Linked DNA regions of Callithrix jacchus. The protein of the gene in region 3 binds, or shares a complex with, the protein of the main gene of each other region. Links are inferred from orthologs where the notes say so. Each region holds a gene or a part of one and is shown on either strand. Other genes may lie near its edges.

Evidence for each region.
Region 1: ZNF541 (region 3) and DNTTIP1 share a complex: the UniProt entries of both Homo sapiens proteins name them as parts of the histone deacetylase complex. The link is inferred for Callithrix jacchus from reciprocal best matches to the Homo sapiens genes ZNF541 and DNTTIP1.
Region 2: ZNF541 (region 3) and SAP30 share a complex: the UniProt entries of both Homo sapiens proteins name them as parts of the histone deacetylase complex. The link is inferred for Callithrix jacchus from reciprocal best matches to the Homo sapiens genes ZNF541 and SAP30.

The regions. Positions count from the first base shown.
Region 1 is NC_133506.1:41,042,395-41,052,500, reverse strand, and holds the end of DNTTIP1 (deoxynucleotidyltransferase terminal-interacting protein 1), read right to left. Parts: intron 10,002-10,106; coding exon 9,945-10,001; intron 9,381-9,944; coding exon 9,322-9,380; intron 7,765-9,321; coding exon 7,719-7,764; intron 5,396-7,718; coding exon 5,337-5,395; intron 5,235-5,336; coding exon 5,174-5,234; intron 2,458-5,173; coding exon 2,386-2,457; intron 1,387-2,385; coding exon 1,331-1,386; intron 1,218-1,330; coding exon 1,079-1,217; 3' UTR 842-1,078; downstream 1-841. UniProt on the Homo sapiens protein: Increases DNTT terminal deoxynucleotidyltransferase activity (in vitro). Also acts as a transcriptional regulator, binding to the consensus sequence 5'-GNTGCATG-3' following an AT-tract.
Region 2 is NC_133504.1:17,827,226-17,838,057, forward strand, and holds the start of SAP30 (histone deacetylase complex subunit SAP30), read right to left. Parts: upstream 5,392-10,832; 5' UTR 5,114-5,391; coding exon 4,799-5,113; intron 2,915-4,798; coding exon 2,789-2,914; intron 2,385-2,788; coding exon 2,286-2,384; intron 1-2,285. UniProt on the Homo sapiens protein: Involved in the functional recruitment of the Sin3-histone deacetylase complex (HDAC) to a specific subset of N-CoR corepressor complexes. Capable of transcription repression by N-CoR.
Region 3 is NC_133523.1:41,476,837-41,486,942, forward strand, and holds part of ZNF541 (zinc finger protein 541), read right to left. Parts: intron 8,981-10,106; coding exon 7,123-8,980; intron 3,487-7,122; coding exon 3,428-3,486; intron 2,863-3,427; coding exon 2,706-2,862; intron 2,414-2,705; coding exon 2,240-2,413; intron 977-2,239; coding exon 652-976; intron 1-651. UniProt on the Homo sapiens protein: Transcription regulator which is essential for male fertility and for the completion of meiotic prophase in spermatocytes.

The DNA.
Region 1 (10,106 bases), on a different chromosome or scaffold from region 3:
AAAGGAGTGCCTCCAATCTTGCCACACTGGTACCCTTCCCCCAAACTGGAAACCTCTGCTCCTCCCCACTGTATAATCGCCTGTTTACCTTTGCTGGGTCCTGAGTATCTGAAAATCCCAGCGAGGGGAAAATCTAGAGGCTGATGGCCAGAGCAGCAGGCTCCCTATTAGAAAACGGAGGTTCATACATCTCTGCATTTGACAGAAAAAGAAAAGACAACACTGATTCAGGCTGGGCGCAGTGGCTCATGCCTGTAATCCCAACACTTTGGAAGGCCCAGGAAGGAGGATCGCTTGAACCCAGGAGTTCAAGACGAGCCTGGGCAACATAAAAAAAGAATAGGCTGGTGAGGTGGCACAAGCCTCTAGTCCTAGCTACTGGCAAGGCTGAGGCGGGAGAATCACTTGAGGCAGAGGCTTCACTCTAGCCTGGGCGACAGAGCAAGACTCTTGTCTCCAAACAAACAAAAACCTCAGTAACACAGGTTCATATCCTGTATGTCCTACCTCTCCAACGGGTATTGTGTGACCTTGGGGCAGATTCCTTAGTATCTTAACCCGTAAAATGGGAGCAATAAAACCCAGCTCTATTTTTCATATGGTCTGTCATCAAACCCCACAGGATTAGCCATCACATTCTGCCATGTCCTTACATTAGCTGGGTAAAGAAACTACAAACCGGGACAGGAAAGAGGTGCAAGATACATGGTACTCCCTGCTTGGTTTCATCAAGCCTGGGTCTATACTGTTATGGGTGAGGTTATCTTATCCTTTTTTCCTACACCCACTTCTAGAGCCCTTGATGTTCTGTCAGTTTCCGCAAGACAGAGGGAACAGCAGGTTCACCATCTGTGTTTATTACAAACTGTTTAATTGCTCCTTATCCCAATAACTTTACAAAGAAAGAACCACATGCCAGTCTGGGGGTGCTGTGCAGTGAGTCACTACAAACTTGCTCAGGCACAGCTTAATGCCACTGAGATCCATCTAGGAGCAGTCCCAGTGGTGGCCTCAGCCGTGTGAGGAAAGAGGGCTTTGAAGGAGGGTTGCCAAGTGTATGTGGCCTGGGGCCCTGGCCTCAGGTCTGTGGTGGTGCTTCAACAGCACGATGCTCATTCTCTGTCCGTAGTGTCTCCATATATTTTCTCATCTTCTCCACCATCCAGGAGGGTAGGACAAAGGATTTCAATTCTTCTAGCTTCAGGTCCAGGCATCCTCTGGAACAGACAATGAAGAAGGAAGTTGGGGGAAGTGAGGATGTAGGTCCTGCCTCATCCTAGGGGATACTTTGAGGCAGGGGGAGAAGGGGCAAGAGGCCCACTGGTTTTACCTGTAGTCATCACTGGCAGCAAGGTCCCGGATGTCCTCCTCAATGAGGAGGTAGGCCTGGGGCAGAAGCAAGGGAGAGTGGTCACTGCCTGACTAATTTCATTCCAACTCAGTAACACTTCATTACACATCTGCTTAATGTAAGGCCTGCTACTTACTAGGTGGAAGAGGGGGATGTGGTTTGCAATTTAGTAAGGAAGAGTAAGTGGGGATAGATGGGAATGGCTCCTTGAGACAATCTTTTACTAAAGTAGATGCTTTATGGGTGGGAGAATAGGGAATAGTGACTTATTTATAGCCTCCTCTTTTAGAAAAGGACCCATTTCTCTCTTGAATGGTGTGGTGAAAAAATTAAAAAAATAAAAATAAAGAAAAAAAAGGGACCCACCATTGCTCCTCCACCTTTTGGTTATGATCAAATGTATAAAAGGACCCAAGGTTGGTGATGACAAAACGGCAAAGAATGTCAGCAAAATATACATGGAAACAGGAAATCAGGAAGAGGAAACCATATGTTCCCTCTGAGGACAAAGATAACTTGGTTTAGAACTTTGTAGCAAAATGGAAAACATGATAACTGCCCTGCTGTCTAGTAATTGGCCTGTATTGTACTGAGGCCTATAGAAATGCTTTGTCACAATGCCTCGATCTACAGTGGGTGAGGGCCCTTTTGTGAACATTAACATATAAGAAGAGATGTTTGTCACATTAGAAAGCCTTCTGTGGGGCTGGGTGTGGTGGCTCATGCCTGCAATCCCAGCACTTTGGGAGGCTACGGTGGGAGGATCACCTGAAGTTGGGAGTTCAAGACCAGCGTGACCAACATGGAGAACAAGGTGAAAGGGTGAAGGGGCAAAGGGAGACCCAGGAACAGGGAAGGGAACCTGAGGATTACAATGTGCTCTTCAGCATGAAGAAATGGGCCTTAAAAGTCTCTCTTCTCACATTGGTCAGGCTTTGGGAGTCAGATTTGGAGGTAAGCTGTCACCCACATCCAGAATCCTGGTTCCCAGGTGGGGTGGGTCCCTGGCAATGGCACATGTGAATAATGCTTACCATCTTGCCCCCTGTTGCCCGCATGTGATGCTGCTCAGCCAGCCAGTGCTTGTCCTGGGGGTCAGCTGCATACTGTAAGGGATGAAGTTGTAGAAGTATTAGCCTCAGGTAAGGGGTTCTTCTCATTTGGTCCTAGAGCATACTCTTGCCCTTTGAGCAGTCCTTACCAAAAGTCCTTGTCTCCTAGCATGGTGGCTGTAGAGGGTTCATTAATATCTTCAGAGCAAGCCGAGCCAAGCCCAGAGGGCAGATCATGGACCCAATTCCCAGAGACTTAGTATACTCCCAGTCCCCAGTCCCTCTGTCAAAACAAAGCACCCTAGCAACTGGTGGGACTGATAACTATTATTTGATAGTTTCCTCTTTTAAAAAGTTATCTGAGGTGCCTTATAATGTCTGTGATTATTATGGTGACAATAATAAAACAAGAATTAGGACACCTCAGGTACTGTCAGATGCAGAATAGCATCATGGTTAAGAACCCAGTTTTGGAGTTACAAATAAGGTTTGTTTGTTTATTTATTAAAACACAGTCTCACTCTGTTGTCCAGGCTGGAGTGCAGTGGCACTATCGCAGCTCACTGCAATCTCCACTTCCTGGGTTCAAGCTATTCTTCTGCCTTAGCCTCCTGAGCGGCTGGGATTACAGGCATGTGCTACCACACCTGGCTGATTTTTGTATTTTTAGTAGAGATGGGGTTTCGCCATGTTGGCCAGGCTGGTTTGGAACTCCTGGCCTCAAGTGATCCACCCGCCTCAGCCTCCCAAAGTGTTGGGATTACAGGCACGAGCCAACATGTTCGGCCCAAATAAGCCTGAAATTCTGGCTTCTAGGCTGGGTTTCTTTGCACCTGGCTGAGAAACTGGGTATTGGTCTCTATTACCTCCTGTGTATTGTCTGAATCTTTTTACAACAGAAATGGGTTTATATATTATTTCTATAATCAAAAAGTTTAAAAATGAAAAATATTTGAATAATGTCTTCTGAAGGACAGAAAAATGGGCCAAAGATATAACAGGCAGCTTACAGAAGAAATACACATAGATTCTAAATGACTGAAAAGATACTTATAATCACTAGTAGAGAATTATAAAGTTGGGCCAGGAGCAGTGGCTCATGTCTGTAATCCCAGCACTTTGGGAGGCCAAGGATGTTGATCATTTGAAGTTGGAAGTTCGAGATCAGCCTGGCCAATATGGTGAAAACCCGTCTCTACTAAAAATATAAAAATTAGGTGGGCGTGGTGGCACATCCCTGTAATCCCAGCTACTTGGGAGGCTGAGGCAGAAGAACTGCTTGAACCTGGGAGACGGGAGGTTGCAATCAGCTGACATCACATCACAGCACTCCAGCCTGGGCAACAGAGGGAGACTCTGTCCCATTAAAAAAAAAAAAAACAGAGAGAATTGTAAAGTGAAACAAAAAAAACCATTTTCTTTCCAGTTATTGGACTGGAAAGATTAAAATGAGAGGTAATAACCACTGGTAATGAGAGTATGAGTTGGGAGTTTATTACAAATGGTGGATTTCAGAGTTGGGAAATTATGCTAATAATAATCAACATTTATTGAGCCCTTGCTATGTGCCAGGCATAATGCTAAGTGCTTTACTACACTCTGTTAGTTAACCTTGGTCTATCACTGTTCCCATCTTATAAAGAACAAAAACAGACTCAGAAATGTGGATCAATTCCCAGACTTGAGCTAGTTAAAAAAAGGAAAAAGAAATGTGAAGCCATTTGTTCAAGTTCATGCAGCCAGTAATGGAATGAAGCCTGAAGCCATATTTTTAAGCATGCTGAAATGGGAATTCAAAGTAGGTCCAAGAGCATATTGATTTTGGGGATGATACAAAGAAAGCTCTTGGAGGAGGTAGATCTTAAAGAATAGTCAGCCAGATAAGGGTGGGAGAGGATGCCACCCAGGTAAAGGGAATAGCAAGAATGACGACATCAAGAGAGGGAAACAAAGAAGGAGCCACTGGGCAAACTTTAAGTGTTGAGATGCAAGGATCTCAGACTGGAGAAGACTGAACAGGTAAGCCTTTCAAAGAACTTGAAAACTTGCAGAGAATGTGGTAGAGAAAGCCGTGGTTCTGGGATCCCACAGGGGCTGTGGAGTTCTGGCAAGGGGTGCCAAGCTTTATGTAGAGGTGCAAAAACCATGTGTGGAACACACATGTACCACGATTTTCCTAATCTATTTTGATGCTGTTGTGAACCAATAAAATATAAAATCATCTAAGAGGGCAAGTGAGTTTATGATTTCCTTTATTATTCCCTCAAACAGTGTGGATCAAAACATAGCTGCTCTCAGGAGTCCCCTCTTTGAAAAGGCACAGGACCCTGCCTTGCTCCAAACTCTGTTTTACAGACAGCCAAATATAGTAGTGGTTAAGAGCTCAGGCTTTGGTGAAGACAGACCTGAGTTTGAATCCTGACTCACCACTTCTAGCTGAATAACTGTGGGCAAGTCACTCAGCCTTTCTCAACCTCTGATTGTTTTGAATTGGTGAAATAAGGATGGCAGTACTTATTTTTTAAGATAATGTAAGTGTGGTATTTAAAACTGTGTTTGGCGTACAATAAACATGCAGGGAAAGGAGCTGTTATTACTGAGGCACAGAGGTGCTGAGTAAATCATGAAAGGTAAGTGAATGGCAGAGGTGCAGCTAGAACCCGGATGTCATGACTCCCAGATCAGTGTTTGTTCTAAGCTTCTCTGTACCGTGTGGAGTTCCCAAACTACTCCCAATCCATGGCCTGCTTTCCCCCCAGCCCTCACCTACCTTAAAGAGGTGTGGGTGCTTGATGTAGATTCTCCCTCTGGTGCCCCCCATCCCCAGGGCCCTGAAAAGTAAAAGCCAAGTGGTAAAGATTCTAGAAAGTGCAGTTCCTACTAGTGAACTCCAGAGCTGTTTCCTTTACCAGTGCCAAAGCTCTTAAACTTACTTGTTGGCTCGAGATCCCAATACAAAGGTGGTAGATTCATTCAGGCGAGCTGGGTCCCACTATGGAAAAAACAGAGAAGCTGGTGAGGGTGAAGTTTAAACTAGTGGGCAGGACAGAAACACTCCTCCCCCTGCCCTTTTCTCATGCTTACCCTTATCTATTATTCAATCAACAGTGTACTCCAAACACTGAGTACTCACAATATGCTAGGCCCTGTCTGTGCTAGATACTGGGAATAAAGAGATGAATAAGATACAGTCTCCATTTTCTAGGGCGCCACAGACATATGTACAGATAATTATACCATGATGCGATGAGGCAATGACACAGGTGAGTGGAGAGTCTGAGGGCTGCCAAGGGGAGGGTGCAGCCAGGAAGGCTTCCTTAGAGAGGTATTTCCCAAGTTAATTCTGAAAGGGTGAGCACAAGTTGGGGTAAAGGGGGTGAGGAACAAGGCAATTCCAGACAGGGGGCAGCATGTGCAAGGACAGGTGAGAGTCGGCTTGGCATGCTGGAGAAACTACTAGTAACTCTCTGTTGCTAACAGTACAAATTAGGGAGTGGCAATTGATGGGGCTGGAGAGGAAAACCCAGAGGAGCTGGAGGTCCTATGAGATTATGTTCAGGGGACTGCATTTTATTTCTTCTGTAGGCATTGGGGAATTACTGAAGGCCTCTAAATAGGGAGTGAGAGTCAGATTTACTTTAAAGATAGCTTAGTTGCTGGCCAGGCGCGGTGGCTCAAGCCTGTAATCCCAGCACTTTGGGAGGCCGAGGTGGGTGGATCACGAGGTCAAGAGATTGAGACCATCCTGGTCAACATGGTGAAACCATGTCTCTACTAAAAATACAAAAAATTAGCTGGGCATGGTGGTGCGTGCCTATAATCCCAGCTACTCAGGAGGCTGAGGCAGGAGAATTGCCTGAACCCAGGAGGCGGAGGTTGCGGTCAGCTGAGATCGTGCCATTGCACTCCAGCCTGGGTAACAAGAGCAAAACTCCGTCTCAAAAAAAAAAAAAAAAGAGATAGTTTAGTCTTCTAGCAATGTAGATAATGGATTTGAAGGGGCAAGATGACAGGCAGGGAGAACAGTTGAGAGGCCGCAGTGGTAAAGCAGTTGGAAAGCTGCTAATGCCTGAGCTAGGGCAGAAGTAAGGATGAAGAGAAGGAAATAGGAACTGCAGTATGTTTAAGAGGAAGAATTGTCCAGGACTTGAGTGGATGTTGGGAGGTGAGAAAAAGGAGGAGGCAAAGACGATTAAAATAAGTAACATAAAGAAGGGCTGTCAGGAAAGATTCTGATTTCATGTTTGGATACGCTGAGTCTGAAATGCCTATGGAGCCTCCAGCAGAGTGGTCAAGTACATAGTAGGATATACAAGTTTTAAAGCAGAAAGAGAGGCATGGGATGGACAAAGAGGTATGGGAGTTTTAGAACATGGTGGTCCCTGAAACCATAAGAGTACATGATTTAGATCATCCAGAGAGTTACTTTAGATGGAGCAGTGGGCCAAGGAGAGAAGTCTGGGGAGCATCCATTTATGTAAACCACTGCTGAGGAAGAACTCATGAGAAAGAAGGGATGTTTAGAGACGAACAGAAAGATTCAGGGGAATGCAGGATCATTATTCTAAGCGAATAGGGTTTTAGAGGAAAGGCATGATTACCAGTGTGAAAGCAGAGAGGGCCAGAAGACAAGAGGTGGACAGCAGCTACTGGACACAGCCTCAACGAGGACAGGGATGCTGTATCAACATTACTGGAGTTCCATTGATGATTTTATTTAAGAAAGGATCTCACTGCTACAACAGTTTGCAAACAACTGCTCTGGAGGCAACAGAGGCTAATGGTTAGAAGCACAGAATCTGGTGTCAGTGGGTCTTGGGTTTGAGACTTGGCTCAGTCACCTACAAGTTATGTGACTCTGGGCAAGTCTCAAGTACAGTAAGTGTATAAGACAACTGAATAAAATAATTTTTGACCACGGGGAAGTTGGCAGAAAAGGAAACTCCTCATTTATAGAATGGTTCACAGAATTGATCTCCTAAGTTTTTTACAAAGATTAAATGAGAGAGTCTACACAAAAGATTTAGGACACTGGCTGATACATACTAAGTACTGAGTAAGTGTTAGTGACCACTAGCTCTTACAAGGAGCAGGCTTCAGCAAAGATTCAAGGCCTCTCTTTGTTTTGGCTCTAACACCAGTTCCTACATAGGATCCTCTCTGAGTCAGTGTGGCTGGAGGTGGAGAGGGGAAGATGGCTCTGGAATGGTGTGCATGCATCCTTTGCCCTCTGCCCCTTTCCGTCGTGGTGGGTCCCAGAGATAGTGGGACTATTTCCTGGGATAGTGGTCACCGCCATGCTCACATAATCATACCTTAGGACCTTCCCGGCGAATTGGTTCACAGGATTTTGGTTTCCATCTGCTTGGAAGGAAAGAATAAAGGTGAATTCTCCAAGGTGAGACCTAGGACTGAATTCAGGCTTGCTGGTGATGGTAGGAGTTCCTCACATACTCTCACTTTAGCCCTGGGCATCCTCCTTCGTGGTGACACGTTAGAGGAGGAGCAAAGGGAAAAAAGCACTGGACTGGAAGCTATTCTAGCACTAGCTCTGCTCTTACACAGTTGCATGAGCAACTCTAAGAACCTATGAGTGGCAGTTTTCTCATCTGTCAAAAGAGACAAGAGCAGTAACTGCCCTACCTATCTTGTATTTGTGAGAAATAAAACTGCTTCATGTAGGAGACACGTCTAAGGTATGACAGTGAATACTATCCCATCTACTAAGCCAGTGGTTTCAAAAGAACCCCAAGCCCCTGAACCAGACCAGTGTGGCTTGATTTGATTTATATATTGGGCTTCCATGAAAAGTTCTGTTTGAAAAAGATTCTGCTGCTTCAAAATTTTTTTAGAAAGTGGGGCTGAAGGGTGGGTTGAGGGGGAAGGAGGGATGAACAGGTAGAGCATGGAGGATTTTCAGGGCCCTGAAAGTGCTCTGTGTGATATCAGAATGGTGGACGCACATCACTATGCATTTGTCTACGTTCATGTGTAACACGAAGAGTGAGCCCTCATGGAAACTGTGCACCCTGAGGATCAAGATGAGTCAAAGCAGCTTCATCAAATGTACCACTCAGGTGCCTGGTGTTGATAATGGGGGAGGCTGTGCATGTGTAGGGGCAGGGAGTATATGGGATATGTCTGTATCTTCCTTTCAATTTTGCTGTGAACCTAAAACTGTTCTAAAAAAATGTATACATACATTTGAAAATGACCATTTTGGAGGCAATAACTATATGACATCAGGCAAGTAATTCTCTGAGTCTGTTCTTTTTTTTTTTTTTTTGAGATGGAGTCTCACTCTGTCGCCTAGGCTGAAGTGCAAGGGCACAATCTCGGCTCACTGCAACCTCTGCCGCCCGGGTTCAAGCAATTCTCTGCCTCAGCCTCCTAAGTAGCTGGGATTACAGGTGCCTGCCACCACACCCAGCTGATTTTTGTATTTTTAGTAGAGAGGGGGTTTCACCATCTTGGCCAGGCTGGTCTTGAGCACCTGACCTCGTGATCTACCCGCCTTGGCCTCCCAAAGTGCTGGGATTATAGGCATGAGCCATCGTGCCTGGCCTCTGAGTCTGTTCTTTATCTGAAAAATTAATGATATATTCTTTAGAGGGTGGCTATAAAGATTAAAAGGTAAAGTATGTAAGGTATTTAGACCAGTCATAAGCATTCAATACATGCTAACAATGACAAACCTCTGGTGTTCAATCAAGCTGGGCCAGACTGTTCAGGGGATAAAACAATTTCCTCCTCACTACCCTCCTTCCTCACCCCTCAAACCAGGGTACCCTCCCTCCATGATGACTTAAGCGGATGGATCTGATTTTACCAGGCACAGAACCCTGGCCTCTTTTCCTTCAGTACCCCTCTCTCCATCTGCTCCCTTAGGGTCTCACCACACTGTTGGTCCCTACTCACACCACGCCGGCAGCTGCTCGGTCGCTTGACAGGGTGTGTCCAGGAGGCCGTCCTTTCCTCTGCCACAAAGAACAGCTGTCAGAGGCCTGCCCCTGGGGTTACTCCCCATACCTTGTGGGCAGGTCCGGGGTCACTTGGTAGAGATGGTTTTCCAAAGAGATCAAATGATATTTGACAGGGACAGGGAGAAAAACTACCTCTCATGCCCAGGAAGGCTCAAAAAGGCTTTGAGGAAGTCTAGTACTTTGTGGAGTGAAGAGCCATTTTTTTCTCTTATTGGTAAAGAGCCTTTTTTGAGAGACAGGGTCCTCTGTCACTCAGCCTGGAGTGCAGCGGGATGATCATATCTCACTGCAGCCTTGAACTCCTGGGCTCAGTGATCCTCCCACCGCAGCCTCTTATGTAGCTAGGACAACAGGCATGTGCCAGAATGACTGGCTAATTTATTTTTTTGTTGTAGAGACAGGGCCTCACTATGTCACCAAGATGGGTCTCAAAACTCCTGGGCTCAAGTGATCCTCCCCAGTTTGGTCTCCCAAAGTGTTGGGATTATAGGCATGAGCCACCACGCCTGGCCTGAAGAGCCCTTTTCAGCTAGAAAATAAAACAAGAAAATGGTTTACCTTTTTAGGAAGGGGGCTTCCTCGATGGGCACATTCTTCTTCTGCCTGCCGGCCACGCTAAAAGAAAACGGAAGGGAGTTAGCAGAAGGCCAGTGTCTGGGAGCTGCAGGTCTGCTGGAGTTGCAGAAGACAGAGTCCTGGACTACAGCCCTCCAGCCCTGC
Region 2 (10,832 bases), on a different chromosome or scaffold from region 3:
CAATTTATGTGTTAACATAACATATATAACATAAGGGAAGGAAGGATGTTTACCTCTTCCTTGCCTTTTCATTGTGCTAACATAACACACATACTGCAATTACTAATAGAAGAATAATAGACTCACCTGGGGGGCTGACATGCATATTTAGATTCCAGAAAATAAAATTTCTTAAGAAAAAAGTTTATCCACATGATAATTAAGACACTTAAGACTTAGTCATACAACCCTGGAATCCCTTAAAACAGGGGTTCCCAACATTTTTGGCACCAGAGATCGATTTCATGGAAGGCAATTTTTGTAGATTCGGGGTAGAGGGGTTGGTTTTGGTATGAAATTGTTCCACCTCAGATCATCAGGCATTAGATTCTTATAACAAGCATACAACCTAGTTCTCTCTCATGTGCACTTCACAAGAGGCTTTGGTCCCCCAGGAGAATCTAACGCTGTGGCTGATCTGACAGGAGGTGGAGCTCGGTCAGTAATGCTTGCTAGCCAGTGTTCACCTCCCACTCTACCCACCCTTTGCTAACAGGCCACAGCCCAGTACCAGTCCATGGCCCTGGGGGTGGGGACCCCTGTCTTAAAATACATGTGCTACATCTGCACAGTCCTTAACCTGTCAATATCTGCATTTCTGATTAAATAAAATATAACACTCATGGCTATCTCTTAATTATTTAAAAAAATAGCTCTAGAAATAATACAACTGTTCTTATAAGGTTACTTTATCAAAAATTTCAGGTTTAATTTATACTTAAATATAACATTTAGAATAATCAGTTCTTTGGTTCTTCATTGTCTCAAAACAGAGGTGCCTTCACTCCATTAGTAGCTTTTGAAATATTTTATCATGGTGGGCAATACCTACATTTATGTTACATTAATGTATTATACAACCCGAAAAGATCTTAATCTTTCAAATCAAAAGTAAAGAAAAATTAGATCTGTGTTGCCTAATAAAGAAATACAGAAGAAATTTTAGCTAAATAGTTAATATGTTGGATTTTAACAATGTTAAAAAACATTCTCCCAAATAAACATATTTTCTATTCATATTTCATTTTATTCAATATGCACATTTTAGAAAATGTTGGGTAACTACTAAATCCATGCAAAGAACATGAGAAAACTGATTGATAGATCTACACTTTTATTTTGTCTAGAAGGCTAAAATTTTTTTTTAAGAGAGTGTTACTATGTTGCCCATGGTGACTCAAACTCCTAGGCTCAATCAATCCTCCTAAGTAGCTGCAAGTAAAAATTTTTATTTTATATATGGTTAAAGTATAAATCTATAAATATCTTAATAAGATTCATAGATTTCTTGGTTCTACTGTATCCTGAGAACATATACACACTCCATTAACTTTTCACAATTCATTGACTGACCAGAAGTCCTCTATCAAAGCAAACTACAAGTAAAAGCTTGGGTAAAAGAAAAGCTTTTGCCTCTTCTAGATGTGAAGAAAACATGGATGTCTCTAATAAAACTAACATCAACAGGACAAATTTTGAAATACGTAAGTCAGCGAATTATAAAAATACTGTTTAGGGGCTGATTTGTAGACATATTCCACCACTTTAAAAAATAAATTCTAATAAGGACATTTATGCTTGTTAATTAAATTTTATTATGCCTCAATTAGGTGCTTAAATGGTTTACTGGTTAAATGGAATTTTAAACTAATAGATTTCTAAAGTGAGGATTTAAAAAACTTTCATTCAACATTTTGAGGGCCAGGAATGGTGGCTCACACCTATAATCCCAGCACTTTTGTAGGCTGAGGTGGGCAGATTACTTGAAGTCAGGAGTTTGAGACAAGTCAGGCCAACAGGGTGAAACCCCATCTCTACTAAAAATATTATACAAAAATTAGCCTGGTGTGGTGGTGTACACCTGAAGTCCCAGCTAGTTGGGAGGCTGAGGCAGGAGAACTGTTTGAACCTAGCAGGCAGAGGTTGTAGTGAGCCAAGATCATGCTACTGCACTCTAGCCTGGGAGACAGAGCAAGACTCTGTTCTCAAAAAACAAACAAACAACACATTTTCAAAGCCGGTATCAAAAGGTGTTGTACACAATCTACTGAGCAGTCATTAAAAAAGGAATTTCCCAAGTGGCAGACAAACATTTCTAGACAACTAGATTCTTCCACAATAGATTTTTTAACTTTGTTCTTTCTACCTAAAATGTACCATTACATATACTACGTTAATACTTTCATTAGCATTTAATAACCTCTTGGTTGAGCAGATAGTTTAAACAGTTTGAAACTCATATATACCTCGACAAGTTGTGCTTTATTAAGTCCTGGTCTGGTTGGTAGCTTGAAGTGTCTTTTGTATCTCCTAAGTGTATTCACTTGTAATTGGTATAAATCAACCTAGAAAAAAATTAACATGCATAAATTAGTTCATACAATTTGTTGAAAATTTATCATTGATATGTATAACAAACATTTTAACTTCAGCACAATAAAAATTTAATTCCATTACCAAAAAATCCTTTTACATAATCAAACCTATAAATTATTAAACACTTTAATCTTTTGGGGATAAATATAAACAGGTCAAAAAAAAAAGTTCCATGACAGCAGAGCTGTAAAAATTGTCAATTTAAAACAATTCCAACTGTGCAAATGCATGTCAACTGGCTACATTTAATTTTGCTTTTATTTTCAGATTTCTCAAATGTTCTAAACACTTAAAAGACTGTTCATATCTTTTTGTAAAGGTTTCAGAATGCACTACTTAGGATTTATATTAAGCATAAAAAACTTCCATCTACCTCTGGGGTATCAATATCTTGAACAGGTGAATCACCTCCATCATCATCACTCCCTTTTCTCTTTCTTCTGTTTCGAACACTCTGAATTAAGTTTTTATGATAATCACATATATAAAGATGCCTTGCCTGAAACAGAAAAGTTTCACACACTGCTTATGATTACAGTAAAATATGTCTATGTATTAATAAAACACATATACCACAGAGAGTTATTAAAAATAAAGACAGTCAAGATGGGTCATTGTTAAGACTATGGAATATTTCTACTTTTAAATCCTATGCCCTGTTAAAACATAAGATGTCTGGAATACTGTTAAAAGGAAGGCAAATGGGGAAGGAGGGGTCGGTGCCATTTGGAGAAGGGAGGGAGGGAGGGGAGAATGAGAAATCCCAACCCTCTGGGTTTTGTCATCAAATTGCAGTGAGGGGCCAGTCGCGGTGGCTCACCCCTGAAATCCCAGCACTTTCGGAGAGCTGAGGCAGGTGGCCCACTTGAACTCAGAAGTTCTACACAAGCCAGGCCAACATGGTGAAATCCCGTTTCTACTAAAAATACAAAAAATTAGCCGGGTATGGTGGCACAAGCCTGTAATCCCAGCTACTCAGGAGACTATGGCAGGAGAATCGCTGGAACCTGGTGGGTGGAGATTGCAGTGAGCCGAGATCGCGCCACCGCACTCGAGCCTAAATAACAGAGTGAGGCTTTGTCTCTAAATAAATAAATTGCAGTGAGGGTGACTTGAATTAGTTCATGTTGAATTTTTAACTGGTAAGGGGAAAGATGATGTTGCCCACACTCTCGCTACTTGCTAGTACTTTCTCTACTTAAAGAAGAGCATATTTTAGTAATATAATGTATGCTTTCTAGTCTTTCTAACTTAACACCCAAATTATATTCCAGATACAAAACCATCCGTTTTTACAAATGAGCCATCGATTTCATATCTTAACTATATTTAAATTTCAGTTATAGACTTTTCTGAATATTAAATCAATGTATTTATCTGTAACACATTTTTCCAAAGCAATGTGAAATTATGCAAGTTCACCTGAAAAGTTTCTCCTGGATAACACTGAAGAACTGTTTAAACAGGCAAAAAGCGTCACAAATCAACTTTTCAAAAACTTTAATTACATATACTCCTACCAGCTGTAGACTAACATTTTAAACAAACAAGGACTGAGCGAACAGGCTTTTCAATTTACTTCTGGGCTAAGCGCAAGATAAAAATATGCAGGACTTGTGCTAGGTTCTTGAAACCGTGTTATTCATTCACCGACAGGCAGAGTTCCCCAGAGTAGCAACGGTTGTTTCTAAAAAAAAAAAAAAACTCATAGATGGTCAAACGAACGGAAGTGCAAAAGGAGGAAAGAAGAAATCCTGATGGCTGCCAAGGGGATGGCAAAACCGCAGAGGCTACGTGCTCCCCACCATCGGAGGATCTGCCCTGGGAGCTGACAGCGCAAACGCCGTTTACGAGCCCGGCGCCCCGCCAGGCAGCGGGTGAGTTCTGCTTCCCTCTCACTCCGCTCGGAATCAGGAGGCGAACACCGAAAAGAACAAGATATTCCTTGCTCGCGAAGGTCCTCCACTTAGCCCTAGGCCAGGGGAGTTAGTGCTGCCTCGGGCCAAACACCAGCTCGGGCAGCAAAACAAAGGCGCCTCCATTCCACCAGAGGCTGCCGGGCTGCAAGAAAACTACTCTGGGCCCTCGGTGCCGCGGTCCCCTTTGTTCCGTGTCCCGATCGCAGAGGAGGAGGAAGAGGGAAGACAGCGCGCGGGAGACACACAGGCAGCGGGAGGCTGGGAAAGAGGGGAACGCCGCGTGTGTGTTGTGCCTGTGGGGGAGGCGGTCGGAGTTGCAGCGACTTTGTTGTTTGCCTCCAACCATAGACTCCACGAGTCCGCACTGCAGCCAGGTCTGGGGGACCCAGCCGACAACCCGAGCCTTTACCGGGCTCCTGACGCCCGGGGGCTGGGGGAGGCAGGGCGGTCCCTCCGTGACTTACGCTCTTATCCAGCTCGATCTTCACCTTCTTCTGGGAGATGCTCTTCTGGATCCTCTTGCTGAAGCTGGCGTTGCCCGCCGCCCGGCCGCACCGCTCGCCATCCTCCCGCAGGCAGCACAGTTGCCCGGGGCCCGGCCCAGCCGCCCCCGGGGGCCCCGCCGCTGACACCGCCCCCGCGCCAGGCACCTCGGCCCCGGCGCCAGCGCCGGTCCCGTTCCCCGCTGAGGCGGCGGCAGCCGCAGCAGCGACCACTGCGGCCACTGCGGCGGCCGCATCCCCACCGCGACTCATCTCGTCAGGCGTGAAGCCGTTCATGTCTCCGAGCTTGGAGCGCCGACGCTGACAGAAATCCCCACTCTCCTGGCCGCTCCGCCTCTCTCCGCTCCAGCAGCAACAATTCACTCTGCACACCAAGTTAGACAGCTGCACTGCCAAGCACCAAGTGTCCCGGGCCTGCTGGTCTCCGCTGGCACCGGAACAGTGGACACTGCTGAGGGCTGGGACGCGGATTCGAGCGTCTCCTGGAGCTGGGACCCCGTTCACTGTCACATGGGGACTTCAGCAGTTGGACCGCCTCGCCTCCGCCTCCCTCTGGCCCTGGGGCCTGCGCAGGCGCGAAGCGCCCCCTCACGTCCCGCCCCTTTCTTTCTGCTGCGTGGCACCACGGGAATTGTAGTTCTGTGCTACGGAATCAACCTGAGCTCCGCCCTGACCCTGAGCCCTGCGGGATGGAGGAACTACTAATCCTAGCATGCATAGCGCGGCGACGGACCGACTTTTTATTTTTTTCTTAGTACCGGGAAAACAGGAGCGTCTGATTGGGGTTTGCAGTGTTTTCTCTCTGTTTCTCTCGGGAAGTCGGGCTGTGTGTATAGCTCCTTAGATTTGGTAGAATTGGTATTCAGAGAAGTCACTCGACTCCTGAGGCGAAGCATAAAAGGATGGGAGTGGTGTGGGAAGTAAGTGAGCGTGTGGGGAAAAAAAGTTTTGAGACTGTTTCGCTTTCGTGGAGACAGTTTTTAGTGTGACCGCGCTTTTGTGGGAAACCCAAACCAAGGAGTACGCAGGAGAATCGGCGCTTTTCGGGTCCTGGAGGTCCCGCCGCTAACACCCCGGGTAGACCAACTATTGAGGCAGCAAATTAATAGGGCACCTACTGGGAGGAAAACACCCATCCAGACCTCTCAACTGTGACAGGCCCTCCTTCCAAAGCCTCAGTGGGGGACCGTTTCAAAATCCTTGCAAGTTCCTGCAAGGGACATATTTTATTCTTGGGCGCACAGAGTTGGCCGCTTCCTGAGGTGGAGTACGGACCAGCTGACAACAGGACTCCTTTTCGCCTCCACGGCCAACCTTTTCCACTTCTCCCAAACGGTTGTGCGGAAGGGCGGAGTCATATCATTTAAAAGGAGACTGGAACCCCACCAATACAAAGGCTGCTTGACTGTTCCCAGAAACTTCCCTACATGAGGTCCACCGGGCGCAGGGGGTGGAAGGCGCATTTCCTGGGTCCTGGCAGGCGCGCGCAGCCCTGTGAGTGCTGCAGGCGTGTGTATGTGTTCTCGGGCGCGCGCGTGCGTACGTGTGTCTCTTCGAGAGGGCCGGCGGGGACGTGCTTGTGGAGGATGGGGGAGAAGGATGGGCGTAGCTAATATGAAAGCTGCACCTTTACTAGTTACCACGCATCATTATTTATCAGTATATTCTGCTTAAATAAAAATACGTTTAAAAATGTTTTTTTAGGCAGTAGGTTGCTTTTTTTTTTTTTTTTTGCAAGTTCTTTTAGTGAATACATTTAGTGATAAATGATTTTTTTTTAATTTTGGGACAGTCTCGCCCTGTCGCCCAGGATGGAGTGCAGTGCAGTGGCGCAATTCTACAACCTCCGATCACTACAACCTCCCCCGTCTGGGGTTCAAGAGATTCTCCTGCCTCAGCCTTCCGAGTAGCTGGGATTACAGGCGTGCGCCAACTTGCCCAGACGATCCTTTTAAACGCAAAATGCCATCGACGCAGAAATTCAAAGGTATCCATTGCGTCTGTGCACTTGAGTTCTAGGATATGGCAAAGAAAAACAATTTAAATACTACATAAATTCAGTAGGAACAAGATGCTGACTGATAAGTACTCTGTGTATCTCCTTAAGCTGCGCTTTCCAGTAGGCTGTTCTCTAGCCATATGTGGCTACTCAGGACTTGAAATGTGGTTGACACGGAAAAATGGAATCATTAATTGAATTTGAATTAAACTAAAAACAAAACAAAACCCTGATGCCTCATTCAATTGTTGGAACACTTTTAAGTATGTTTGCAACAAGATATATGAATCTGTTTTTCAAACTTAAATTTTATGAACTCTAACTTTAGCATGTGAATTGAGATGTGCTGTAAGTATATATCAGCTGGATTTTTCTTTCTGGACTTAGTACAAGAAATTTTCAAAAAGAATATTGAATTGCACATTAAAAATTTTATATATGTTTAAATATTTTGGATATAATGGGTTAAAAAAATTAAAATAAATTGTACCTGTTGCATTAGATAACGCTGGCTGAAAGTGTTACAACACAGGCGGGAGCTGTGGCTCTCACCTGTAATCCCAGCACTTTGGGAGACCGAGGCGGGTGGATCATCTGAGGTCGGGAGTTTGAGACCAGACTGACCAACATGGAGAAACTTCGTCTTTACGAAAAACACAAAATTAGCTGGGTGTGTGACGCATGCCTGTAATTCCAGCTACAGGAGGCTGAGGCAGGAGAATCACTTGAACCCGAGAGGCGGAGGTTACGGTGAGCTGAGATCGTGCCATTGCACTCCAACCTGGGCAACAAGAGTGAAACTTGACCACAAAGTTGTCAACAAAAAGTTGAAACTTGACAACAAAAAAGATAACAACAAAAAAATACAAATATTAGCCAGGAATGGTCGCGCAAGCCTGAGGTACCAGCTACTCGGGAGGCGAATCGCTTGAACCCAGGAAGTGGAGGTTGCAGTGAGCTGAGATTACACCACTACACTCCAGCCTGAGCAACAAAGCAAGACTCTGTCTCACAAAAAGACAAAACATAACAAAAACCAGAATACCTATATATTATTTATGAATATATTTTCTTTCTTTCTTTCTTTTTTTTAAGATGGAGTCTTGCTATGTCGCCCGGCTGAAGTGCAGTGGCGCAATCTCAGCTCACTGCAACCTCCACCTCCCAGTTCAAGCAAGTCTCCTGCCTCAGCCTCCCGAGTAGCTGGGATTACAGACACGCCCCACCATACCCGGCTAATTTTTGTATTTTTAGTAGAGACGGGGGTTTCACCAGGTTGGCCAGGATGGTCTCGATCTCTTGACCTTGTGATCCGCCCGCCTCGGCCTCCCAAAGTGCTGGGATTACAGGTGTGAGACACCGTGCCCGGCCAGGATTTATTTTTTTAAGTGGTAAAAATGAGAACATAGTTGGGATGGATACATCCCAACTTCAGGGTGATGCTCATCTCCAACAAAGGAGGCCAAGGAATTTGTATGTCGTGTCAAAGTAAACATAAAATATAAAGAGATGAATTTCTAAATGTAATGGTTTTTTGGGGAAGCAAGAATTGCAATTCAGGACATATTCAGAGACTGGGTGGTCTTTGGTATGTCAGAAGAACAAAGAGAAAATCAAAAGTTTTATTAGAAAGAGAAATGTTACTACTGTTTTGAAAGAATGCTCATTGGTGCCAGTAAACTTTTGGGAAGCTGGGAAGCACTGATTGGTGAGTGATAGGGGTAGGTGAAACCAATCTTAGTCATAGCAGATTGTTTTAGCAACTACTGGGTAAAATTGGTCTTAGAGGTACTGCAGGCTGTTTTAGCAGCTGGGCTGTAAAAAACTTAATTCTTAATCTTTGAGGTGTATGCCCAGATTGCTTTTTCCCCTAGTCCCTCAATTCTGACTTAGTTGGATGTAACAAAAATGATCCAGATTGTATGATCAATTTTCACACCGGGAATGGCTTCAAGATGGTTCCTGCTGAATTTTAAAGTTTTTATTTATTAAAAATATCTGAAACATGACAGTGGGATGTTGAATTTTCATGTTTTTCTTTGTTCATTTATGTATTTTTAAAATAATTCATGATATTGTTTGGTTGTGCTTAAAAGCTTATAATCTATCTTCTGCAAAATGTGACCAAATCATGTAAATTCAGTAGGAAAAAGATGCTGACTGATAAGTTCTTTGTGTATCTCCCTAAGCTGCATGGTATGTATAGTCGTTACCATGGAATATTATGCAGCAATCAGAAATGATGAGTTCGTGTCGTTTGTAGGGACATGGATGAACCTGGAAAACATCATCCTCAGCAAACTGACACAAGAACAGAAAATGAAACACCGCATATTCTCACTCATAGGTGGGTGATGAAAAATGAGAACACATGGACACAGAAAGGGGAGTACTAAACACTGGAGTCTATTGGGGGGAAAAGGGGAGGGCCAGTGGGAGGGGGAGGTGGGGAGGGATAGCCTGGGGAGAAATGCCAAATGTGGGTGAAGGGGAGAAGAAAAGCAAAGCACACTGCCATGTGTGTACCTATGCAACTGTCTTGCATGCTCTGCTCATGTACCCCAAAACCTATAATCCAATAAAAAATTAAAAAAAAGAAGAACTGTAACTATGCCTCCTTTACACACAATACAGTGGTTGTAAATAGATCCTATTAAACAGTCACTTCTGACATACTAGAATCTTTTCTAGGCCCTGGAGACACAAAAATAATTGAAAGGGTCCTAGATATTTTGGAGCTTCTTCTCTGGTAGGGCACACAGGTAGCTTAACAAACATGTAATACAAACCTCAATAAAATTAGAAAGTACAGACATAGCGCATAGGAGGAAATGATTCCTTTCTGGCAATTAGAAAAGATTCCTGGAGTAGGGGACATGTTAATTCTCACTGCCAGATTTAAATTATTTCTTCAGCGAATGTATTTGTCTAGATAAATTTTTACAACAATTATGCTTTATTTCTACAAATCTTAATATTTAGGGCAGGTATAAGAACTCCTTGATTTGAGTGTACTTCGTAGTCAAGGTTGGAATCAGGTTTTGGGGGCTTCGAGATTATACAATCTGAAAGGTCTTTTTAAAGAAGTATATAAAATTATGAATGCAAAATTAGTTAAATATGTTTATAAGGTCCTGTCCAAATGAGGGACTCTGAAGCTTGAATTCATTTGCTTCATGGTAAATCTACGTCAGAGTAGACTATGTGAAAAATATAAATTTATGAAACCTTAATTATAGGGAGGTTGTTCATATCAACAAAATAGTCTTTGCTTTCTAAAATGGTTCAAAAATAATTCTTAAAAAAGTATGTATCCCTGCCTCCCTTCCCTATAGGTTTTTAACATAACTGCATTTTACTGACTTTATTTTAAAATAAGAGACTGAATAATTTTATTTAATTTATAAAAACATACAAGTTGACCAATAATCCCAACATGAACACATTAGAACATTTAGATAATATAAAAAGGTTCATATGAAAAACAAAAGCCTGTTTTTCCTCATTTTCTCAAATTGCTGTCCCTTAAAGCAACGAACATTAACAGATTCTTGTTTCCGTCTAGAAAAAAATTATATGCATGTACTAGTATATACATTTCTATATGTGAATAATTCTATATTTTTACACCGAAAGTTCATTGTTTTACACCACCTTTCCTTTACCTAGTTTTAACCTCAGCAGTCATATAGAAAATTGAATAAAGCATAAATGTCCAGTTAAGCAGTGCTGTGGTTTCAATGTTTGTGTATGTTCCCTCCCAAATTCATTTTGAAACTCAGTCCCCAATGCAATGGTACTAAGAAGTGGGGCTTTTAGGAAGTAGTTAGGCCTCAGGAGTTCCACCCTCATGAATGGGATTAGTGCTCTTCATAAAGGCACTAATAAAGAGATAGAGGGGGAGGATTTACCCCCTTCCATTGTTTCCACCATGTGAGGATGCAGCAAAAGGCATGAGCTTGGAAGCACAGAGCTGTCTCCACCAGACACCAAGAT
Region 3 (10,106 bases):
GATCGCTTGAGATCAGGAGACTGAGGCTGCAGTGAGCTGTGATCGCATCAGTGCACTCCAGCCTGGGTGACAGAGTGAGACCTTGCCTCAAAAAAGAAAAAGAAGGCTGGGTGAGGAGGTTCATGCCTGTAATCCCAGCACTTTGGGAGTCCGAGGCAGGCAGATCCTGAGGTCAAGAGCTCAAGACCATCCTGGCCAACACAGTGAAACCCCATCTCTACTAAAAATATAAAAATTAGCTGGGTGTGTTGGCAGACACCTGTAGTCCCAGCTACTCGGGGGGCTGAGGCAGGAGAATTGCTTGAACCCAGGAGGCAGAGGTTGCAAGTGAGCTGAGATCATGCCACTGCACTCCAGCCTGGTGACAGAGCAAGACTCTGTCTCAAAGAAAAGAAAAGAAAAAGAAAATGACACAGAAGGGCAGGCAGAAGCATGGTCAGGCTAAATGGCCTCTACATTTTTTTCTGGCCATAAAATTCTAAGCACTAGAAGGCACTTAGATCAGTCTGGGGCATGTCTGAATAGCAAAGGGTCCCTCAGACTAGGTACACCCGGGTGGGCGACAATCCCTGAACCACATGCTACAACGGAGAGTGGGCATGGTCCACAGGCAATTCACCCCGGGATCACAGAGTGCCCAGCCTCACTCACCGAGCATGGAGCTGAGAAGCTGGTCAGGGCTGGCCTGAGTGGACGTGGAACAGAGGGTGTTGAAGTATAGCCCAGAGCCCCCCCGGATGGGGCTGAGCATTGGGGGTGGTGTGTAGGGGGAGCACTGAAATAAGCCCTTCAGGAGGTGGTCCACCAGGAACACGGGTGACTGCAGGCGGCTCTGGTGGCATCCTGCAGGGCCGGGTTCCCCAGCCGTGGAGGGCAGAGCAGGGATGAACAGTGACTTGGGTGGGGGCCGCTTTTTCCGCTTCCTCTGCTGGCTGCTCTCCTTGCTGTCTTGCTCCTCCCCGTCTTTCTCTTGTCCCTGAAGAAGAAGGAGAGAGTATAGAACCACAGGTGGCCACCTGAAGCCACCTACTGCACCACTCTATCTCCAGGATGGGATGAAAGTGGGAACAGGAGACTGGCTGGAGAGAGGAAACTAGGACACACGTGCCCGGCGTGGCCACACCCCCACCGAGCCCTCCGCAAAGGAGGCCAGCCACACCTGGGCCAGACCTGAGGCACTGAGTCTGGCCATGATCTGGATGCCCCAGGAGAGCCTCTGACTGTGTGTGAGGACGGCCTCAACCGTTAAGATGACTGGCCCTTAAACAGGGAGATATCCCTAAAGATACAGTGTGATGCTGGCAAGAAAGAAATGCTGCTCCACCCAAATGACAAGCACCCAAATGACCCAGCCACTGACTCAGGGGACCTTCAGGTCCATGGACTCTGTTCCCAAGTTGAGCAGGAGCTTCTCCAGGTGGGGTCCTTCAGTACAGGCTGCAGAGACAAGCCCTTTGAGACCAATCACTTATAACTCACCACGCTTTCTCTCACCTCCACAGAATCCCTCTGCTCTGCCAGCCCTACTCCTCCTCCTCCTTCAGGTCTCAGCTCCCATACTGCCTCCTCCAGGAAGCCCCCCCCTTACCTCCTCAGGCTGGTTCAGGAGCCCCCTGGAACTCTCTGGGCTCCCTCTACTCCCAGCCCTGCCTACTCTGGGTTATCACGGTCTGGGTACAGGCCTGTCTCCTCCACTGGACTGGGAGCCCTGGGAGGCAGGGCCCAGGCTATTGTGGTCACCTCTGTGTCCCCAGTACCACCCAGCACAGGGCCTGGCACAGAGGGGCTCAGTGAATGCTGAATGACTGAATTAACGTGCAAACCAGCTTCTTCTGGATCAAGATTTTCCTCTTTTTTTTGAGACAGAGTCTCACTGTTGCCCAGGCTGCAGTGCAGTGATGCGATCTCGGCTCACTGCAGAGGCTTCTTGGGTTCAAGTGATTCTCGGGCCTCAGCCTCTTGAGTAGCTGAGTTTACAGGTGCCCACCACCACGCCTGGCTAATTTTTTTGTATTTTTAGTAGAGACGGGGTTTCATCATGTTGCCCAGGCTGGTTTTGAACTCCTGAGCTCAGGCGATCTGCCCACCTCAACCTCCCAAAGTGCTGGGATTACAGGTGTGAGCCACCACGCCTGTCTTGGAGTCAAGATTTTCTGTGGTGTCTGGTTTAGGCTTTTCCTACAGCTTCCCCCAGCAGAGGGGGCAGTGGCAGGAAGAAGGCAGACCGACAAGCGCCCACCATGGCCATGCTCCCTATGTGTCGGGTCACTGGAACCTCAGGGACTGATAGGGGGACCACCAAAGGGGCTGCAGCCATGGGGTCCAAGGGCTTCTTGGGTTCTGAGGGACTGTGCCCGTCCCCTTCTGGCCTCAGCACCTGTCTTAGGGGATTGCAAAACTCTGTGCCAAACACCTAAATACAGAGAGAAAAGATGGCTCTTTAAGAGACAGGTAGGTGGGGAAAGGAAGAGCTGCTTCAGAAAAAGCTGCCATAGAAAACAGCAGTGAGTCTGGGGCATGGCCTGAGCTGCAGAGCTGTTGCAGCCCACGGCAATGGCCTGCCCCTGGAGAGCCACACAGCCTGACTCCAGCCCTCCACCCAGCGCGACGGCCCCATCCTGAGATGTGTGACACCAGTCTCGTTGACGCCCCACAGGCCTGCCAGAAACCCAGTAATCACAAAGCCACTGGTCATGCCCCTTCACCTGCGGTTCCTGCTTCCCTCGAGGTGATGGCCACTGGTCGCTGTGGAAACACATGTGGCTGCTCAGCCCTTTCTCCGTATAAAACATCTGGCTGCAGTTCTTGCAGACGTAAGTGCTGCTCGGCTCCGTGCAGTCCATGGGACCACCGTTGTGCTGGCTAATGTGGGCAGACACGGCAGGAGAAAAGAGTGGGAGATTGGGACTCTGCCGTTGATCACTGAGTTTTTGTTTTCTTTCTTTTTTGTCTATAACTCCAATCCACTGACTACTCCTTTTTTTTTTTTTTGGAGAGGTAGTCTTGCTCTATTGCCCAGGCTGGAACGTAGTGGCATGATCTCAGCTCACTGTGACCTCTGCCTCCTGGGTTCAAGTGATTTTCATGCCTCAGCCTCCCAAGTAGCTAAGATTACGGGTTTGTGCCAACACGCCTGGCTAATTTTTGTATTTTTAGTAGAGACAGAGTTTCACCATGTTGGCCATGCTGGTCTTGAACCCCGACCTCAAGTGATCTGCCCGCCTCGGCCTCCCAAAGTGCTGGGATTACAGACATGAGCCATTGCATCCAGCCTGACTACTCTTGAAAAACCCTAAAAAATGGAGGCTGTACCCTAATCCCATTAAGACTGAAAGCATCCTCCCCACTCACTTATCCTGGCCAGCACAGGAAAGCCAGAGGACTCTTGTCAGAGCACATGCAGGAGGTGGGGGGCTTCTTAACTTACCCTCCACCTACCACGTTCTCTTCCTTCACTGGATGGGGAAGCCTGTAGATGTTTCCACCCTGAAGATAAAAATGCATCTGAAGCAACACATCAGAAATGAAGAGGCAAGGAGAGCTCAAATTACAGACTCTTAGAAGAAAACATCGGAGTAAATCTTTAATGACCTTGGAGTAGACAGTGGTTTCTTAGATAAGACATGAAAGCAGAACAGACAAATTCGACTTCATCAGACTTTAACTCTCTTAGCCAGGCATCGTGGCTCATGCCTGTGATTCCAGGACTTTGGGAAGCCGAAGTGGGAGGATCGCTTCAGTCCAGGAGTTTGAGACCATCCTGGGCAATATGGTGAAACCAAACCCCATCTCTACAAAAAATACAAAAATTAGCTGGGCATAGTGGCCTGGGCCTGTGATCCCAGTGACGCAGAAGGCTGAGGTAGGAGAATCACTTGAGCCCAGGAGTTCAAGGTTGCAGTGAGCCATGATCACACAACTTCATTCCAGCCTGAGTGACAGAGTGAGACCCTGTCTCAAAAAAAAAAACAAAACCAAACCACTTTCGTCCTGCAAATGGTACCATAAATAAAATGAAAAGACAGCCCACAAAATGAGAGAATATTTGCAAGTCATGTGTCAGATAAGGGGCTTGTATCCAGAATATACGAACTCAAAAAATAGTAACTTGATTTTAAAAAAATAAGCCAAGGATCTGAAGAGACATTTCTTTTTTTTTTTTGAGATGGAGTTTCGCTTTGTTGCCCAGACTAGAGTGCAATGGCACGATCTCGGCACACTGCAACCTCCGCCTCCTGGGTTCAGGCAATTCTCCCGCCTCAGCCTGCTGAGTAGCTGGGATTACAGGCACGTGCCACCATGCCCAGCTAATTTTTTTTGTATTTTTAGTAGAGACGGGGTTTCACCATGTTGACCAGGATGGTCTCGATCTCTTGACCTCGTGATCCACCCGCCTTGGCCTCCTAAAGTGCTGGGATTACAGGCATGAGCCACCGTGTCTGGCCCATGAAGAGACATTTCTTTTAGGAAGATACACAGATGGCTAATAAGCACCCAGAAAGGTGTTCGACATCATCAGCCTCGGGCAAATACAAACCCAAACCACAACAAGACACCACTTCACACCCATCAGGATAGTTATAATTAAAAAAAAAAACAAAAACAGGAGGCCGAGGCAGGAGAATCGCTTGAACCCGGGAGGCAGAGGTTGCAGTGAGCTGAGATTGCACCGCTGCACTCCAACCTGGTGACAGAGTGAGATTCTGTCTCAGAAAAAAAAAAAAAAAACCACAGACAATAACAAGTGTTGGTGAGGACGTGGAGAATGTGGAGCCCTCACACTCTGGGGGTGGGAAGCTGAAATGGTGCAGCTGCTCAGCAAAACAGCCTAGTGGTTCCTCAGACCTAAGACAGAGCTGCTGTAAGACCTGGCGATTCTACTCCTAGAGCACAAATCCCCACCCAAATGTGTACACGAGTGAACATCACAGCAGCACTATATTCAAAATAGCCAAAAAGTGGAAACAACCCAAACGTCCACCCACTGATGAACAGACAAATCCAATGTGGGCTTATCCATCCAGCAGCATCACTCAGCCATGGAAAGGAACGCAGCTCTGCCGCTTGCCACCCCTCGGATGAGCCTGGAAAATGTCAGACCGAGTGAAGGAAGCCAGACGCAAAAGCCATAGAGTGCATGATTCCACTCACATGCAACATCCAGAACAGTCACACCCACAGACACAGAAAGGGGACTCATGGCTGCCAGGGGCTGGGTGGAGGGTGAGATTATGGGTGACAACTAAGAAATGTGGGGTTCCTGTTGGGGAGATGAAACTGTCCTGGAAAGAGTGGTGAGGGCCGCACAATCTTGTGAATATACTACAAATTACTCAATGCTATGCTTTAAAATGGTGTATTCACGTTGGGTGAGGTGGCTCACGCCTGTAATCCCAGCACTTTGGGAGGCCAAGGCAGGTGGATCACAAGGTCAAGAGTTCAAGACCAGCCTGGCCAAGATGGTGAAACCCCATATCTCTTAAAAATACAAAAATTAGGGCCGGGCGCGGTGGCTCACGCCTATAATCCCAGCACTTTGGGAGGCCGAGGCGGGTGGATCACGAGGTCAAGAGATCGAGACCATCCTGGTCAACATGGTGAAACCCCATCTCTACTAAAAATACAAAAAATTAGCTGGGCATGGTGGTGCGTGCCTGTAGTCCCAGCTACTCAGGAGGCTGAGGCAGGAGAATTGCTTGAACCCAGGAGGTGGAGGTTGCGGTGAGCCGAGATCGCACCACTGCACTCCAGCCTGGGTAACAAGAGCGAAACTCCGACTCAAAAAAAAAAAAAAAAAAAAATTAGCCAGGCTTGGTGGTGGGCACCTGTAATCCCAGCTACTCAGGAGGCTGAGGTGAAGAATCGCTTGAACCCAGGAGGCAGAGGTCGCAGTGAGCTGAGATTGCGCCACTGCACTCCAGCCTGGGTGACAGAGTAAGACTCCATCTCAAATAAATAAATAATTTTAAAAAATACAATAAAATGTTGTATTTGGCCGGGTACGGTGGCTCATGCCTGTAATCCCAACAATTTAGAAGGCCAAGATGAGAGGATTGCTTGAGCCGAAGGGTTCAAGACCAGGCTGGGAAACATAGCGAGACTCCCCATCTCTAAAAAAATTAAATGGTGCATTTTATGGCACCTGAATAATAAAGCTGCTAATAAAAGGAAAATAAGGCAGCTCTGGTGTGATGGGAAGCCACTCAGCCTCCCAAGTACCTGGGGCCACAGGGGAGTGCCACCATGCCCAGCTGATTGTTTAAATTTTTGGTAGAGACGGTGTTTTGCCATGTTGCCCAGGCGAAACCTGGAGTCTGGAGTCCTGACCGAGCTCTTCAGACCAGGCCTTCCAAGCATAGTGTCTGGAGGAAGCTGTGCATGATTATCAATGTGCTGAAGTGCGGGGTATGCAGCAGGCACCCACTTGTGCTCGTGGAAACCATGACACACAATCAGAAAACATATGGCCATTTCAAGCAGGGATATTTAAAGGAAGGAGGGCATCTACCTTCATATCCTCTGAAGTGTCTAAAAAGGCAAATCCAAGGCAAGGGAAACGAGAGAAAAAAAAAAAAACAAGCAAAAAAGGCTTAGCGAGATAGTGTTTCCAACAACTCTGGAATATCCTCATTTATTATTATTATTATTTTTGAGACAGGGTCTCACTCTTTCGCTCAGGCTGGAGTGCACTGGCGAGATCTCAGCTCAGTGAAACCTCCACCTCCCAGGTTCAAGCGATTCTCCCACCTCAGCCTCCCTAGTAGCTGGAACCACAGGTATGCACCACCGCCCAGCTAATTTTTAAAAATTTTGGTAGAGATGGGGTTTTGCCATGTTGCCCAGGCTGGTCTCAAACACCTGAGCTCAAGATGTCTTCCCAGTTGAGCCTCCCAAAGGGCTGGGATTACAGGTGTAAGCCACCTCACCTGGCCTCATTCTGGTCTGTTTTTTTGTTTTTTGGTTTTTTTTTTTAGTGGGGGAAACCACAATTTCTCGAATTTCTTCCTCCATAAAATTGCATCTAGGGATTCACTTCGATGAAATAAAATGCGTGGACAACTAACAAATGCAGAGAAAACTCACACCACTCTGCTTAGGCCACGTGAGAGAGAGAGCGGGTACCTGGATTCTGCTGAATATTGTCAGCTTGGACGTGGAGTCTCGGGAGGCATCTGCCGGAGGCCCGGCCGACGAGAAGGAGGCCATGGCTACCTGGCTCGGAGAAGCCGCAGAGCACATATCCATCTTCACCTTCTCCTTCCGGAACCCGGAGAATCGCTGGGCTCTGGGGTTGCCCAGCAGCCTGTAGCTTCCGCCCCGGGAGCCGGCTGGGCCCTTCTCACCTTTCGTGGTCCCTGACGCTGTGCCATTCTCGGCAGGGGCCTGCTTCCCGTGCATCGGGGCTCCCGGTGGCTCCTCCCCACCTAACTGGGTCTGCCGTTGGCCTGTGGAGGAGAAGATGTCCTCCAGGTCCAAGGTCCTTTTCGAGGATCGCAAGTGCTTGGCCAGAGAAGAGATTTCCGGATTCCTGGAAGGGTCCAGAGACGCCACTGCAAAGGACGTTGGAACCGGGGCCACTTTCAGTCCCCCCTTTGCGTCTCGTCTCGTGCTGCCGGGGGAGGCCTCTCTGGGAACTCCGGGCGTGGTTTTCCTCCTGCGGGCTGGGGAGCCCTCTGCCTCCGGGTTTTCAGGGCCGGTGTGGACAGAGTCCACAGCAGGAGTCAGCGGAGGGGGCTGATGCGGCCATGGCCCCTGCAGCGGCTTCAGAGCGGCCGGCTTGCCCTCGGGCGCGGGGAGCTGGGAGGAGGCTGCTGCCACCTGGGCGTGGGAGAAGATCCGCTGGGACTTGGTAATCATCTGGAACACCTGCATCTGCTCGTGGCTCACCAGAGGCTCCGGCGACTTGAGGAAGAGCTGGCGGAAGAACGGCGTGGCATCCGCGGGGAGCCCCCCTGGCGTCTGGGCCTCCAGGGGACCGGACTCCCCGGGGTTCTGGCACAGGAAGGAGTCGCAGTCGAACTTGCTCTTCTTGGGGGCCCAGGGGTCCTCTTCCCCGCTGGCAGGCCTGGGGTCGCTCGGGGCCTCCCCGGAGGCCTTCAGGATCGCGGGAAGAAAGGGCAGCGCATCCTCCAGGCAGCCACTGGGGCCAGGCGGGGGCTCTTCCGACGGGGCGGCGCTGCTGGGCCCTGGGCCAGACTCGGAGCCTTCCTGTGACAGCATGGCGGGGGGCTTGTGGACAACAAACACATTGTTGCCTTTGCTTTTGGGGCAGCCCGGCAGGTTCCGGAGCCACTGGAAGCCGTGGCTCGACGACTGGGAACTGGCAGGGACCGTCTGGCCTCGGAAGAGAGGCAGGCTGGCAGGCATGGAACCGCCCTCCGGCCAGCCCTCCGCGGAGTACAGGGCCTGGAGCAGCGCGGGATCTGGCTCCGGCGGGTCGGGGGCGCAGTTCTCAGCTGCCCTGGAATTAGGGGCGGTGAACACGTCAGCGGCCGGCTCCTTCTGCGGTAGGCAAGGCTCCTCCGGAAGCTTGGTGTCCAGCTCTGCAGGGGCCTCGGTGGGGTCGGCTGAGGTGCAGGAGGAAGACCCTGATGAGGCGGGGCAGGGACAGGCCGTGTTCTTCCCTTCGCTGTCTGAAGCCCCCGCCGGGGCCGGGCCAGGAGAAGGGGTCTTCTGGTGGACGATGCTGCTCACGATGCGGCGCAGGAGGTCCCGGTGGGGCAGGAGGGAGCCGGGGGACCTGGCCTCCGGGGGCACCACGGACCGCAGACTGCTGGGGGGCGGCTGGACAGCAGACTCGTGGGTGTGGGAGTAGTCCCCGCAGGCCTCCTCCTCCGGGGGGGCTTCCTTCAAGATGCACAGGCCGTGCTGAACCTCGTAGTGCCGGCGCAGAGAGCGGTAGTCGCAGTAGCTCTTGCTGCAGCCCTGCTCGATGCACACGAAGGGCTTCGTCTTCTGGTGGGTGAGCATGTGCCCGGTCCTGGAGCCAGACACAAGTAGGGGCGTCAGCGGGTTGCCTGGGACTGCGCTTTCTCCCGTAGGACCCCGGTGGCCCCGATAGTCTGTGGTGCTTTTGCACCACAATGCAGAAATTGTACTCAGCCCCCAAGAGGAAAGACCACCTGGCAAACCCTGCTTCTGTCAAAGCCACCTGGCAGGAGAGCTCCTCTCCCTCACCTTTAAGCAAAGCCCTTACAGAAAAGTAAAAAAAAAATCCAGCGGGGCTCAGTGGCTCATGCCTGTAACCCCAGCACTTTGGGAGGCTGAGGTGGGTGGATCACCTGAGATCAGGAGTTTGAGACCAGCTTGACCAACATGATAAAACCTGTCCACCAAAAATACAAAAAATTAGCTGGGTGTGGTAGCACATGCCTGTAATCCCAGCTACTGGGGAGGCTGAGGCAGGAGAATCACTTGAACCCAGAAGGTGAAAGTTGCAGTGAGCCAAGATCATGCCACTGCACTCCAGCCTGGGCAACAGAGCAAGACTCTATCTCAATAAAAACAAACAAATAAATAAAAATTTAAAGAATGATTTAAAAATCCACTGAGGCCAGATTAGACTTTGCCAGAGTGGGTTCCCGGAAGACACAAAGCTCCAGAGTTGCTCCTCAGGGCCTCTGGGCACAGCTGAATAATAAGTTTTGAAAAACACCATTCACTGCTTGGAAGTTCACAATGCACAGCAGCAAATTTAATTCATTAATTAGTTAATTTTTTGTTTTTGAGATGGAGGCTTGCTCTGTTGCCCAGGCTGGAGGGCAGTAGCATGATCTTGGCTCACTGCAAGCTCCACCTCCCAGGTTCAAGAGATACTTGTGTCTCAGCCTCTTGAGTAGCTGGGACTACAGGTTCGCACCACCACACCCAGCTAATTTTTGTATTTTTAGTAGAGACAGGGTTTCGCCATGTTGGCCAGGCTGGTCTTGAACTCCTGACCTCAAGTGATCTGCCCACCTCACCCTCCCAAAGTGTTGAGATTACAGGCGTGAGCCACTGCACCCAGCCCACAGTTGCAAATTTAAAAGCCACATAGAGAGAGACCTGTTTAACTTTCAGTGTCTCTCAAACTTATTTGCCCAGAGAACTGTTTTTGGTTTTATTTT